4 linked regions of the Drosophila melanogaster genome follow. The protein of the gene in region 3 interacts with the protein of the main gene of each other region in a pairwise test. Each region holds a gene or a part of one and is shown on either strand. Other genes may lie near its edges.

Region 1 (3,995 bases), on a different chromosome or scaffold from region 3:
TGGGGTTTCCACCCCATTCCATTCCATTCCCCATCCCCACCATTCCCTAGCCACGAACCACCACCCACCATTAAGCACAGTTAGTTAGTCGTTTCTTGTTTCTCGTTTCCCTTTCCTTGAGTCCATTGTTCCGCGGTATCTCCGCTGTTCTCGCCTCTCCCTCTCTGTCGCCCACTTCTGCGCGACGACTATGGCCAAAAGTAATCTTCCAAGGCAAATGTGAACCACAAACAAATTTATAGCTGCAATGCGGCCAGGCCGAGCATAACGGGCCCACATTTCTGTGAAATCTATGTGAGAGCAGATGTGCAGAGGGGATGGAAATGGAGAAATAGAACTCAAAAGGAAACTGTCGAGTGAGGACGACTATAAAAATATACAACAATACTGCCAAGGCAACGGGACATAATGAGCCAGGGCCAGACGGCCCGAAACGGTAAATGGTAAGCGGTAAGTCTCTAATCGGTTAACGGTAAAGCCGAGCTCAGCTGAGCGAATGTGGGCCACCAGCAGGAGAGCGAACCATTTTGGCTTTGGATTTTTGCTTTTGCCCTGCACCTCCTTTGCAGTACCGTTAGCGTTTTTCTGCGTTCGTGCTTTGCATGGCCATTTGTTACGTATACGTGTGCGCAAGACTCTCGTTCTCTCTGCAGACTTGCCTTATTTGGCTGCATACTGTAGGGCGCTCTCCCGTTACTCCTGAATTTCAAATTTCGATGCATAACTTGAGGCGCTCGCTCTCTCTTTCTGAATCTCTCTCTCTCTCTTGTTATGTCCCTTTTTACTTTACACGTTTTGCTGCACACTTTGAAAGCACATTCTCTCTTCTTGCTCTCTCTGCTTGTTTATGCGTCATTTCTTTTGGCTTTTTCTCACACATCTCTCTTTTTGCAAAGGCAACAACAAATATTATGTCTTGCTCAATTTTATTTTTCTTCCCTTTCATCTTGCCCTTCCTTTTTTTAGTTGGTTCGCATTGCAGCATTTTATTTGCTAGCTCATTTATGCAATTACTACTGCCTTTAGTTATAACATATTATATATTTATTCATTTTAAGAAAAAGTACTGACCCTTATTATATTATTACTTCGTCTAAGTAACTAAAATTTATTTAAAATTAAATTAGGTAGGATGTGCTGAGACTCCACTGTACTAGTGAATCCGATTTTTGGCAGATTGCAGCGAAGGGCTCCCAGATTACATTCACTCTGTGGCTCCCCCTTTCATGCCAGTTTCATTAGGTAGATTTTCCACCTGAGTGAGGAACATTTCACCACCACCACCAACCCCACCCACCAACATTGTTCTGCATTCACAAGTTCGTTTCATGCTCTTATGGTTTTCTTTTTTCCCAGCAAGCCCCTCTGCAGCGCATTTTCCCTCGTTTGCTTTGCTGCAGCAGCTTTCATTCATGCCACGTCAGTTGACATAATGCGACATGGCCACACACAAGCAACAAGCCACCCACCGAAGGCGAGCGCCCACCGCCCCCTAGAAAACCGCCCCACACTCTTCATTGTCGACTACTGCACTTGGCAAAAGTTTCTACCAGTCATTGCCATGAAAGTGCCATTCAAATTTACCGCCCCTCGCCACGCCCCCTTCTTCAGTTGCTCCTTGATCGAAAGGGTTTCTATTTGGTATATATTCTTTGGCTTTGCAACCAGGCAACACGGTCAACATAGCAAGCCATGTTTGTTTATCCCCAAAAACAATAACAAACTCGGCTCAGAATTCAAAAAGACCTCGACACAAGCATAGCCAGAAAATCGGAAAAACATAAATTATAGAAAAAACAAAAGAAGCATAGAAGTTAAGAATATTCAAACAAGTGAAATACGCTCAAGAACATTTAATGGAAAAAAAAGCTTCACTTTCCAGGTTGCGGCAGATTAATTGCACCTATCTGCTTTAACTTCGTGATTTCGTTAATAATAAATAGAAAATTCCTGTTGTATCCGAGAGTCGTTTAAATTAATACATTTTAAAAGAACCCGGCACACAATTATATCGCAAAAAGGAAATTTTGTAAAGTTATTAATGTCTGTGTAAACGAAAATCTTTCAATGAGGATTTTATATATGCGCCAGGATCCGTAAAGCTGCTAAGTAAAAATGGGTTAGTATAAAATGAATGTTTTAAGACAAAACCAGTCATATCCTTTTTCCTTCCAGATACCACCGCCGAACGTCAGGTGAGACTGGAAGGAGTGGAACGTGTGCTCAAGATGTCCCAGGAGCGCATCAAGATAGCGATGATCATACCGAAGCTGCTGGAGAATCCCGAGAAGTTGAAGAGCGTCCTGAAGGACACCTGCTATGAGGAGGTTCTCGAGCCCATCGATGACATGATCCGCCACCTTGGCAAGCAGAGTGGACGTTCCAAGCTGCCACATGACCACACCACCATGCGAATCGTGGACTTCTTCCTGGTCAACCATAGCATTCATCGATTCTTTCCGCACTTGAAGAAGAACCTAAACGAAAGGGATCGCCAATTGCTGGCCGCCTTTCACTTTCTCCTGGAGAGCGCCCACGTCCATCTGCACCGATCCTCGCGTAGCGAGATTACCAAGGAGCGAAAGCTCCATGCCATCTTTCATCAGAATGTGGACATCAAGAAGAAAATCAAGGAACTGAAGGCGAGCCTGGCCTTCCAGAAGGTGATTGGCAAATGGAAGACGGCCGCCAAGGGCATCTATCTGATGAAGGTCGAGGAGGATCTGGCCAATAAGAAGTGGCAGAACAACGTGGCCATTCAGAACGAAATGTAACTCGGATTTCTAGTTCTAGAAATTCTTATTTGAATATATTTACAAATTACAGTGAAAAGTGCCATCGCACGATGCGAAGCTACCACAAGAGCAGCATGGACAGGCAGAAGGAATTGGAGGAGGAGCTGCAGAATGCCCGGGAGAGCTACGAGAAGATGACCAAGAAGCATCTGGCCGAAGAGCACGAGCTGCGAAGCGAAAAGTAAGCTACAAATCGAGTAATTTATTATTTAAGTGCTCTCAATCCTTTATAGAAACAAATTGCTCCTGCAACTGCAGAGTATGCTTAAGAAGTACGATACCAGCCTGGGCGAAAAGATGCGTGAGAATTTGGTGGCGGAGGATCAGTATCTGGCTGCCAAGAAGGTCCTCGACGATTTTATGGTCCAGTACAGGCAGGAGGAGCGCATCTACAAGAACATCGTGGTCAAGCGAGAGGAGGAGGAACGTCGCGTGCAGCAGGAGAAGCTGGTCATCTTCATGATGAACCGGGCGGCGGGCAAGATTCAAAAATACTGGCGCAAGTGGAAGAAGGATCAGCGCAAGAGGAAGCGCCAGGGAAAGGGCAAGGGCAAGAAGGGAAAGTAGTGTCCCAAACCGGATCTCTGTATATTTCTACATTGTACAATTTATATGTAGAAATACGAATATATTCCAACCTTCTACTACTACTAACGTGTATATATGTATCCTGTTTTCTCATTATTTTTTAAAACTGTCACATGCTAAAAAGTTATGTTTGCTTGAGCTCATTTGTTGTTTGCAAGCTTTTGTGGCATGAAAATCACTAAGCATGCATAAGTACCCATGTATGCAAATTAATATTTCCATAAGAGAAAAGGCAAATGTTTACTCGCAATTAAATCGTGTTTACTTGGCACTTGACAACACACAGAAATTTTCTGGAATTTCTTATATATTCTAGAGTAAAGAAATGATTATTTCCTTTATTCAGCAAGGCTAACCAATTTTATTAAATATTTTTCTATTGAACTGCGATAAATTTCGCCTAAGACATTGTCAACGCGGTTTTTTCTATGGGGTCAGAGGGCGAAATGTGTGGCTTCCCTGCGATTGCGAAAATCCAAGAGAGAATGAAAACGCCTGGCAGAATGTTTACCCAACACGCACACACACACACACACACACACATACAGCGATGGAGGGAAAAGCCAAATTTTCATGTCTTGCGGGGCGAACGAAAAATGGCGCATTGCTGTC
Region 2 (4,826 bases), on a different chromosome or scaffold from region 3:
GGTGACTTCAAGGAGATGAGCCAGGTGAAGAACCCCGCCTTCTACATTCACCTGATCGAAAAGCCACAGGTTTAGATTTAAGTTTTTAGTTGTATTCACATAAGGCCACAAGACACATCCATATAAATATACATAAAGTTCCTTCGATTCGCACAGTCTCGAGTCTCCTCAGTTTTCTTCTAAACCATTATGCAGAATCGACCCACGATGGAGCCAAAGCACAGGGTCACCATGGCGGCCTCGATCACGAACGGGAATTTGGCCTTCACGTAGTTGAACATCCCGGTGTAGATGTTCGACAGGGCAGCCAGTAGTATCAACGTCATCTCTCGTCCGCCGAACTTCGCTTTAGACTGTCACTAAAACGCAATAGCTATCGAAACCCTCAATTCTTGGGGCGAGTGTCATTAGCCTTGCAAATGCTTTTCCATTACGTTTTCAATGGGTTCTGCTTTGCAGAGAAAATGAGTAACGATCGAAATGCGATACTTTAAAAACCAAATACTAGAAAAATTTGTGGTATTCTAATAACAGTGGAGCTGAAAGTTGGAAAACTATGTTACAGCAGTACTACAATACTTTGTATTTCCGAATTATGATGTATGAAGTCTACTATTATTATTCATTATTTTATTCTTATTATTATTTTATTACTATTATTTTACTTTTTGAACTATAATCCGGAAAATGGGACAGTACGTCAAGAATAGATTTTACTGTAGTAGACTTTGTAGCACAATACCCATGGGTATCAAATGTTTTTGTGTCTTCATGAAGGATCGTCTAGCAGAAAACGCTGACGTATGCTCATTAAAGTGTCATCGAATACAAAAAACAGAAGCCAGCTAACGAAAATAGGACTTAATTGACATGTTTATTAAAAATACGTTTTAGTTCTACGCAACGGCTTTACTATCACGAAAACGTGGTGAAATCTTAAGAGCGTGCTTCCCAATCCGAATTTAGATGCCAACGATTTTATTAATGCGCTTGACGTCGGTGATCTGGCGATCGATCTCCCCGGTTAGCTGGGTAAGTATCTCGGTGATAGTGCGGTGCTGTTTCTCCGGCAGCTCGTACGCGTTCTTCTTGAGGTCCTCTTGACTCTGGGCAATGTGGTAGCGCTGCTTGTTAAACGTCTTCTTAGCAGTCTCCAGTCCAGCGGCCAGGCTCTGGGTGACCTTATTAAGTCGAATCACCTCCTGCGAAAACTCCCGTTCCGCAATCACACTATTGGGTAGTGAGGCATTGGCCCTCTGCATCAGAGCGTTGCACTTGCGGACGAGCAGCTCCTGGTTGTAGCTAATCTCCTCGAAGCGCTCGGCAAGCTTGTGGGCCCGCTCGCTGATCAGTTCGCGTTCCTGCTCCAGGTCTTGGATCTCCTGCAGCTGTTGTTCCTTCTTCAGCTGGATCTGGTTGATGTGGCGTGTAAATGCGGCGCGCACAAGGTCATGTCGTTTAAGGTACTGCTCACGAAGCACCTCGATTGCCTGGTTAAGCAGTTCGAAGCTCTCCTGGGCGGATGGCGAGGAAAGTTTATCCGCCAAGATGGGCTGGTTAACACTACGTTGCAAAAGCGATTTAATCGTATCGACAAACGGTGGCCCACTTTCCTGCTGAGACACTTCCGAGTCAACTGGCTTATTCTCATTAGGTGTAACCAACAGCTGGGCATCAATTACCAGCTTAAGGCTAATCACCTGACCGCTGCCCAGCAGTAGAACTATACCGGCAGGAATTTGTAATAGGGCAAGTCCAAAGACTGCGTTCACCGTCTCACTGGAATCGAATTTTGTGCACAGAATGTACTCTGCACTTGCAGAGACCGCCAGCTCTAGACGATCTTCATCGGACTCGCTTTCCAAGTAACGTTGCAGCTCTGCGATAAAGCTGACCGTAACGGCATGAAGTCCTGCGTTGTGGTAGGCAAAGTAGCGAAGCTCATTGATCAAATCCCGCTTTAAGTATATGGGACAGTTGCCTCCTTCTTTTCCAGTTGCGGGTGCAGATATTCCCAGCTCAAGTTCGACAGTTTCTAGTACATGTACAACGTATTCGGCGGGTTCAATCAACACAGAGTCGTCAACCTCATTGAAAGAATGCTCAGTGGCCTCCGCCTCCATAAGCAGAGCATGGTGAAGCTTTCCATTGGATTCAGCTATAACAATGGTCGGCGGAAGTGATGGGATAATCATTAGGGCACAGGACTCCAGTCCATAATTGTCATGTGCCTGTGGCGTTATGGTAACGGGGCCCTGCAGGCGCGTATTCTCCGAATCCACGCCGGTCATCAAAATGTAGATGTTTCCATTCTCGCGGAGCACAACCATGGGCCACTCTATCCTCTCCTGTTTCGGCAGCGATTTGGCCGCCACAAGGGTTTTGTTGCTCTTATCCAAAGTGGTTTCGTTATTGCCGGCTGTTTCTGGTTCAGTGACACGTGGTTTTGCAGCAGGAGCGATGTCAAAGTCAACGGCTAGCTCGCCAAAGTCGCATAGCGAGTTATTGGCCCCACTTCGAAGCACCGGGGGACCCACCTGCCACACGTGGCGCAACTTGGAGTGATTGTACACTCGAATCGTGTTGTTGTTGAGCAGCACGAGCAGCGTGGAGTCTGACACGGAGTGCGGATGCCAGCGGACCTGGCGCACTTCCAAGTGCGGGTTTTTTAGGAAAAGCTGAGTGTCCAGGCCGAACGTGCGGCAGGTGATCACTGGCTTGCCATCCTTGTAGTATCCATCGGGGCCCCAGCGGCGGGGCAGCTCCATTATGACAACGCCGCGCGGTCCACTTAGTGCCACGAGGGAGCCCTCGTTGGAGGCCAGCACGCGGTCCACCTCCAGGCTCACCAAGCTCGATGGAATCAGTGTCTGGAACTGGATATTCACCTTTGCCGCCAGCGATGAGCGCCAGTTGCGAACCAACAGACAGCTGTCCTTCGCGTGCCAGGCAAAGAGCAGATCGTCCTTGCAGTCCAGCAGGTTCTGAGTCCTTTGCACCACGGGCAACCCATTGCGAATCTTCGCGAACAACTCCGTTTTGTTCAATTCCAAGACATCGGTGAGCGACATCGTTTGTTTATGCTTCAATTCGTTGCCCGGCTTGTAAGTCAATGCTAGTGTGATAGTAGTCTTCGGAAATCCGCAAAGTATTTTTTTTTAGTATTTTTTTAATTCGAATTCATGAAACAAGAAATTTGTTAAAAAAACGCTAACACCAACATTTTCGGAAAATGTACTAATAATTATTGCTGCTTAAACTTTTCAACGAAAGACGTTAGCATAAATCATGCTATAAATTTAAAAAATGGAATAATTGATTAATAGTTAATAAAAGATTATAAAAGGTAGATGTTATTATTTTTTAATATTGGTATAATTCACAGAACCCATTAATTCAACAACTTTTAATAATCTATTTAAAATCACTAAGTGCTATAAACATTTAAGTTCTCTTTTGGAGCTCCAACAGTGGCACAGATTTCAACTTCATCGTAATATCTTCAACAAAGTATAGATTTTCGAAGGGAAAACTCGTTTTAAACCTATAATTCCGCAATAACTTGGCTAATGTAACTTTCGCCGATATTAAGGCATATCTCCAACCTAAACAGAAGGAAATAATAAGAATATAGCTAAAACAATGGTCATAAATTAGCGATCACTCTGTTACCTATGCAATTTCGAATGCCCTTGGTAAAAGGTATATAGGCGTACGGATGCTTGTCCTGGATGTTGTGGGGGAGGAAATGATCTGGGTTGAAGGTCTCCGCATCCGGACCCCAGATCTTTTTGCTTCTGTGCATGTGATAAATGTCGATGGCGATCTGGACCCCTTTGGGAACCACTATACCATTGGACAGCTTCAGATCCTGAGACGTTTGTCGGGATACGACAGGAACAGGGGGTATTACTCTCATGGATTCGTTGAGGATCAGGTCAAGGTACACCATCTGCTGGGTGTCCGCGTAGGATACATCAAAGTCTCCTGTGTTTGGGAATATCGTCTTTATTTCCTCAAAGGCCCTCTCCTGGTATTCCGGAAACATCGCCAGCAACATCAGGGTGTAGTACACTGCATTAGCCGTGGTCTCAAAAGCTCCAAAAACGATGATATTCGACTCATCCTCAACATTCTTCAGGGTAAACACTCCTCGTCTCATCAAATCCGTGACCAGATTTAGAAATAGGTTTTTATCATTGGACTGGATGGAAGGTAGTGCTCCCATTTCGTCCTCGGCCAACTTTCTCTCAATTATCTAAAGGGGTTAAGAGATTCGTAAGTGAATAAGCGGAGGGAGTAGTTGGAGGTGCTCACCTTCCGAATAAACTGACGAATCTCAGTTTTGGCCTGGTAGTAGTGCGATTCCTTTCCAGCCAGCTGCCGGCAAAATCGGCTATTGAGCCACGGAGAGAAGCACATATCTGTCATGGTTTCCAGGATGCTATTAATGGATAGATGCATTCCGATTCCAAGTCAAAACTCACCATTGGTATCGCCCCAGCAAGGAATTGCTCCTGAAGCTCTCTTCATCCTTTACATCGCTGCCCATGGTGGTTTCTGCTTTCATATAAGTATATCATATATTTAATATCAGATCGACTCTTCTAACTGAATTATGCATTCTGGCTTTCGACCACTTTGTATGCAAACAACAAACGTGATAGCCATAATTTATGAGTCTTTTTTTAAACAAACAACACATTCTTCTTTACTCACGGGTGGCAATTCCCAGGGTGAAGCTCTGCAGCAGTGGAATGAGATCCTTCTCGCCGTCATCCTGCAGTGGTTCGAGTTGATCGAGCAGAAGGGCCGTCTCCCGGTTG
Region 3 (2,836 bases):
GCTCGGGAACGAAAGCCCCAGATACGTGTGACAGCAAAAAGGCAAGCCAACTACATGAATTTCCTGACTGCTTCGATCCTCGAAATTTTCACATTATCATCACTCCGTAGAATGTTTGATTTTCACCGCTTAATTTATGATATAATTGCATATTTGGCGATTCAATGCAAACATTCACAAATATTTGCCACAAAACGCGTCTGCCACCAGAAGGCCAATCGGGCGTGGGATTCGGTGCCAAATGTAACGTTTAACGTTGGTAAAGCACAGTTTCGACTAATATCTGACTTTGCAGGATACGGATTGCGACCCTGTTACAGCTGCTACTGCGTCGATTACCCGGATGTTCAACAATTGGCAAGGCCCTCTTTACGTATATAATTAAAGTGCATACTTTAAGACCGAGATGTATATATGTGTCCAAACGCTTTAGCCGCCGTTGCACAGTACAAAAAGCCCCATGGAACATGATAATTTGTTAACTTCCCTACCAAATAATAACCAAATAAAACAAAAGGATACACTGTTCTGTTAAGGATTATTCTTCTTATCTGAAGTGTGGGTTTGGCGGTTTTCAAAGGTTCATCGGTTTGGTGAGGATCCAAGCGAGCAGCGAAATCTGGTTTCCCTGGCGCCTCAGAATGGCGCTTTCGATGCCATCGTGCAGATTGATTTGCACTTGGGCAAAGAATTCCGGATCGTTACGTTGGTACTGGCTGCCCAGGAAGATGTTCAGCTCTGTGTCAGTCATGGGTCGGCTAGTATGCTCCAGGACCATTATAATGGACTTAAGTAGGTTGGGTACCAACCGACGTTTCGGCAGTGTCGTGAAGATGTCGGCCATGTTTAATTTTTTTGTCGTTTTTTTTTGTGATTTTTTTTTTTTTTTTGGGAAACCAAATGTAAAAGTATAGAAAAATTTTGTTACTGACTCAACGGCTGGCCTATATCGTTATTAGCTAGGTAGGGGAACGAAAGTCCCAGCTATTTGTGACAGTAAAAGGCAATGCCAACTACATGAATTTTCAGCCTGCTTCGATCCTTGCTTTTTGGCCTTCTTGCCGGTGTGCTTCAACAGCATGGCCAATTAATCAGATGGCGACTGTGGCGGGTTGAACTTGAATGACCTCGAGGCATAAAAACGAAAACTGCAACAACAAAGGCAACAGCCAGAAAAGCAACAAAGAGCAGGAAACACAGCAACTAAAGAAAGGCTGATCGAGTTGATAGTGTCTTCAATAAATTAAAATACCCACTAAAGTATCTTGATTTGCAAGTTAAAGTGCGCCTCTTATTTTGTAACTTTTAGATTTTGCGTTGCAAAAATACATGTATATTTCTATTGCATCTTTGGGTGCAACAATTTTCCGAGTGTAGCCAGGAAGCGAAGGGCCCACAAACATCAAGTGACATTCGAGCAGAGACAAAAAGTCATTATCACGGCGACGTCGGGCCGCTCTCATCTCCACATCTCCGCATCTCCACCACTCGTGCCCACGATCTCGGCCATATATACATATATGTATGTATACCCAGGATCCCCTTCGCATTCGCATTCGCATTCGCCTCATGTTCAGCATATGGAGCACGTGGTTTGGAGTCATAGTCATCGCCATAGTCGCCACCGTCTTTGTCGCCATGTTTTTTGCCTTTTCCGGCATTTTGTTTACGATTACTTTTTGTTTTTGTGCTTTTACGTAGCATCTGTGCAGCTCAGGAGTGCATTGAAGGGGGATCGGTGTAATTTGAGTTATTGGTTGCTATACAGTAAAATATAAAGGGCAGTATTGAGCGAAAAGAAGCCGCCGGTAATCATAACAGTTTTAAGTTTGTGACAAAATCGTACACAGCATATTTGCTGAGATGTTTTACTGTATAACTAATTTAGCCGAAACTCTTCGTTCCAAGCACTAGGTATCGTTTAGTCCAAACATCAATACGATAACTTTCTTATTTGTTTTATTTGGCGTAGAGTTCTCTGCGCTCCCCAGCGTACGCGGATTTCCTTTCGAGATGGAGTTGGTAGACGGCAGTTTTCCCTGAATGATTTTCACTTGTTTGTTCTTGTTGTGTCCTCGTTGGCTGCTTTGTTCGCTTGTTCGGCTGGCCCAGGAGAAAGCCGACCCTGTTTTGCAGGACCTCCGTCCGGGATATATACACATACATATGTATATATACCGCCCAGTATTGCTCTGGGCCCCCTTCATCAGGAGCAGCCGCCAAGTGCAATTGTCATAAAGTGTCATTGGCTGACGTCGCGTCCTCGCGTCCTTTGTACAGTTGTTGGTGCGGTGAATCAACTTAAATGAGTATCCGCTTTGTAACTACAAGTGCGTGGCTTCGTTTTGTTCCCTTTTAGCTAACATCTTTTACCCAACAACCGGCGGGGAAAATAGAAAGAGTGAGTTAGAAGCCGGCCAATTGGCTTTGTGTGCGACTTAGCTTTGTTTTGGACCCCAGGTCTAGGTCTAGGACTAGGACTAGAGCTCGACTGAAGGATAAAGGATTCGGGCTACAGGATGCATGAGAAAAATCGCAGACAAAGGGCTCCCATTTCAGTGAAAGCAATTGAGCGAAAAAAAGCCCCAAGTCTTAATCCAAAACAACCGAATAGAATAAACTCTTTTTAAGTACAGATATCTAAAATTAGTAACTTTGTATTAATAAAAAATCATAATATGTATGTCATTATAAGCTACGATTTATATCTAGTCTCTATAAATGGCTGTATGATTCACATTTGGTAATCAGCACATAAGAGCTTAAACACACCTCTTTTTTAAACCCCTACGCTGCAATTACAAATCTACTTTGCAACTTTTTCGCGCGAGCACAA
Region 4 (3,015 bases), about 13 Mb from region 3:
TTGACCGCATCGCATTTGCCACATTCAGTGATTCCATCGATTCCATCGATACCTTCGATACCTTCGATCCACGAACCCCGCATCGTGGTCAATGATAATGTGGACTTTTCGCAACTCAAATTGCCCCAGCATCAAGTTGTCCACTCCCACGGCCGCTAAATGGGTTCATTGCGAAACAATTTATAAACTATCATAAATAACTACTTTTCGGCGGTCTTATTACTTTAAGTTAAGTTTTTTTTTGTTTGTTTTCAATTTATTATTCAATAAAATTGCTATAAAATATATTGGTTTTTAAGGTTGACGAATGCATGGACAATATTTATATGTGTGCCAAAAACACAATTTTTAAATATGTAACATTTTTAAACATGCAGATTTTGTAATTAATTAAAATCCAGGACATCTTTTTAACTTATTTAAATTTTCATAAATACTTGACCATATTTATTTATAGGTTGTGCCCCCAAGAGAGCTTTTCAATTCAATTTAACTTACATTTATTTTAATAATCGTTAAAAAAAAAACACTTTTATAATAATATAATCTTTGAGCATTTTGATAGGTCTTGTGTGCGACTATCACAGTCTTAGTAGAGATGTTCCAGCTGGTGGTGCTCCGCCAGGTGGTGGTCGTGCTCCGCCTGGTGCTCCACCTGCTGTTCGAGTGCCTGGTGCTGGATGTGGTGCAGTTCGTGCTCATCCCGATCCTTGAACTCGTACAGGGTGCTGTAGCTGAAGGCGCCCTTGCCATGATCGATGCCGGGCACAGCCTTGTGGTCCTCGTAGTGGGAGTGCAACTCGCTGGCCTCGGCGTACTCCTCGCCGGCATCGCTGCTGCCGTAATCTGACGGGAAGCTCTCCTCGCCCAGGTGATCGCCGAGGGAGCCCAAGTGATCCGCCTCCGCGGAGGCTCCGAATTCGTGCGAAGATGAGCTGAAGTCCAGCTTGGACAAGGCCTCGCCGCCAGTCAGACCGCCGGCGTAGTGGCCCAAAAGTCCCGCCGAATGGACCACTGCATTGGAGGACACATCATCCCCCAAAGGATAACATTGGATGCCTAGCAGCAGCTGACCCAGAAGGATCATCAGTTTCAGGCGATAGGTGAACATGGTTGGATGTGGTAGAAGTGTTTTAACCGACGCGGCGAAATGTTTCGAGTCAACTAATTTACTGCTACCAACTGCATTGGATTTTATATGCTCGGAGCACTCACATTCGACCGCAAATACATGCCGCATTTTCCTGCATTTTCCGTCGACTTTTGCACACAGTCTTTTGTTTTGTTTGGCTAAAAGCGAAAAACACAGAAAAAAAAAAATGTTGCAACGGACATCTGCCTGCTGGCCGCTCGTTCGGCTGGAGCTGATAATTTGCTGCACTTACTCCGCATTACGTCGACGTCTAAGTGGCGGGGCCATTGAAAAGCCTGTTGCAATGGTGCGTATACGTAATAATTTTGGTCTTCTCAATTATTTTTTGGCTTTTTGGCCATTAGGCCCGTTCTCGGTATATGGACCATATTGCGTCATCTGTGGCATCCCTGTGGGCCTTAACCCTCCGCCTATTTGCACTTAAGGCGGAAGCTCGCTAGATTTTTGGCACAGGCCAACTAATTGGGTTTATCAACAGCAAATAGTGGAAGTAGAATGGCAAATATAAAGAGTCATTCACATATACGAGTATGTGAGTTGAAGGTGTATATTTATCGGGCCAAACAATGCAGTGAGATGTGTCCATTGTGCAAAGTGGCCAAAAAGTGCACTTAACTCATTGAGAAACTGTTTGGATAGGTACTTTTATATTTGATAAATATAAAATAGTCAAAGATGTAGAGTACAAACTTATTTGAAACATATTTCGCAAATTTATTAAATCACGAAAAGGATTTAAATACATTGCCAAAAATATTCTCTAAGAACAGCATCCGTTTATCAAGTCTTTTATTTTATATATTTCTCTCTTAACTTATCATCAGCGAGTCTTACATAAATCTATAACTCAAACTAACTCCAAATTATAGTCTAATGGATATAGAGCAATCTGAATTGATTTCGATTTCATGAGTCTCTCTACTGCAATTAAAAGCACAAGAAGCCAGCAGAGCGAGAAGTCCGCGCTCGATCGCCAGTAGTTTTTAAAAAAACCCACAGCTCCATGCGTCTGACATACTCACCAATATTCCCATTCCCAACAAGATATGGGTGCTATATACTCCATATATGGAGCACGAGTGCCTGGAAGATTGCAAAAGGTGGAAAAGCGAAACAAAACCGTTACCGATGTACATATAAACATTTGCCGTCAATTCAGCGCGCTATGTGCGAATAAATTTCCAAAAACTAAGAAAATCGGTTTGTAGCGAAGTTCGGCTGCTCTCATTAAATGAATAATAATATATGAATCAGTAAAAAAAGTCAAGAAAATATCAATCAACAAATAATACTAGTAACAAAACTTTATCGAAAGACATCTGAGAATATAAGCTGAAAAAAGCCCAGGAAGTAGAGAGAATATTATATTTTGAAAACTATAAATATTAAATGAAACAACTGATAAATATTTATTTTATCACAATAATTAAAAAATTAATTTTTTAAATGGTTAGTTGCTTCTATGGTATATTATACTATCCCATTAGGATTGACATTTATTGGGTATTTTCTTTGGGTGTAGCTCGGCATTTCTTCGAAGTCGGCCAGTGTGAATAATTGGGCAGTATTAATCTGTGAATCCACCATCCAAATGGCCAACTGGAAGCACTCGCATTTGGGCTATTGGCGCTTCTGATTGCCGCTGTTTATTCCATGTTGCTGGTTGCTAGTTGCTGGTTAATAGTTGCTAGTTTCTGGCGGGTTGCGTGCCGGCAACATCAACGAACAGCAGCAGCAACACCACCAGTCGGGCTCACAAATTACCAATGTAATAGCACCGCTTGTTTTGTGTTTAATTTTGATACCCCTTAGTCTTTGAGAAAGGGGGTATACTAGTTTCGTTAGAAAGTATGAAACAGGTA

What was found.
Region 1: the proteins of CG15578 (region 3) and CG13168 interact in a two-hybrid assay, tested with the Drosophila melanogaster proteins (one large-scale study listed by BioGRID).
Region 2: the proteins of CG15578 (region 3) and mbo interact in a two-hybrid assay, tested with the Drosophila melanogaster proteins (one large-scale study listed by BioGRID).
Region 4: the proteins of CG15578 (region 3) and CG12995 interact in a two-hybrid assay, tested with the Drosophila melanogaster proteins (one large-scale study listed by BioGRID).

The regions. Positions count from the first base shown.
Region 1 is NT_033778.4:12,252,246-12,256,240, forward strand, and holds CG13168 (uncharacterized protein), read left to right. Parts: upstream 1-1,746; 5' UTR 1,747-2,115; coding exon 2,116-2,119; intron 2,120-2,175; coding exon 2,176-2,770; intron 2,771-2,826; coding exon 2,827-2,976; intron 2,977-3,028; coding exon 3,029-3,362; 3' UTR 3,363-3,456; downstream 3,457-3,995.
Region 2 is NT_033777.3:12,675,931-12,680,756, forward strand, and holds mbo (members only), read right to left. Parts: upstream 3,123-4,826; 5' UTR 3,072-3,122; coding exon 963-3,071; 3' UTR 557-962; downstream 1-556. Other genes in the region: Gnmt (glycine N-methyltransferase), read left to right, coding at 1-75; CG43630 (uncharacterized protein), read right to left, coding at 180-326; Cyp313a4 (cytochrome P450 313a4), read right to left, coding at 3,445-3,605, 3,673-4,258, 4,318-4,444, 4,488-4,560, 4,720-4,826.
Region 3 is NC_004354.4:4,277,019-4,279,854, forward strand, and holds CG15578 (uncharacterized protein), read right to left. Parts: upstream 944-2,836; 5' UTR 845-943; coding exon 575-844; 3' UTR 529-574; downstream 1-528.
Region 4 is NC_004354.4:17,208,851-17,211,865, forward strand, and holds CG12995 (uncharacterized protein), read right to left. Parts: upstream 1,148-3,015; 5' UTR 1,112-1,147; coding exon 590-1,111; 3' UTR 518-589; downstream 1-517. Other genes in the region: CG32563 (uncharacterized protein), read left to right, coding at 1-159.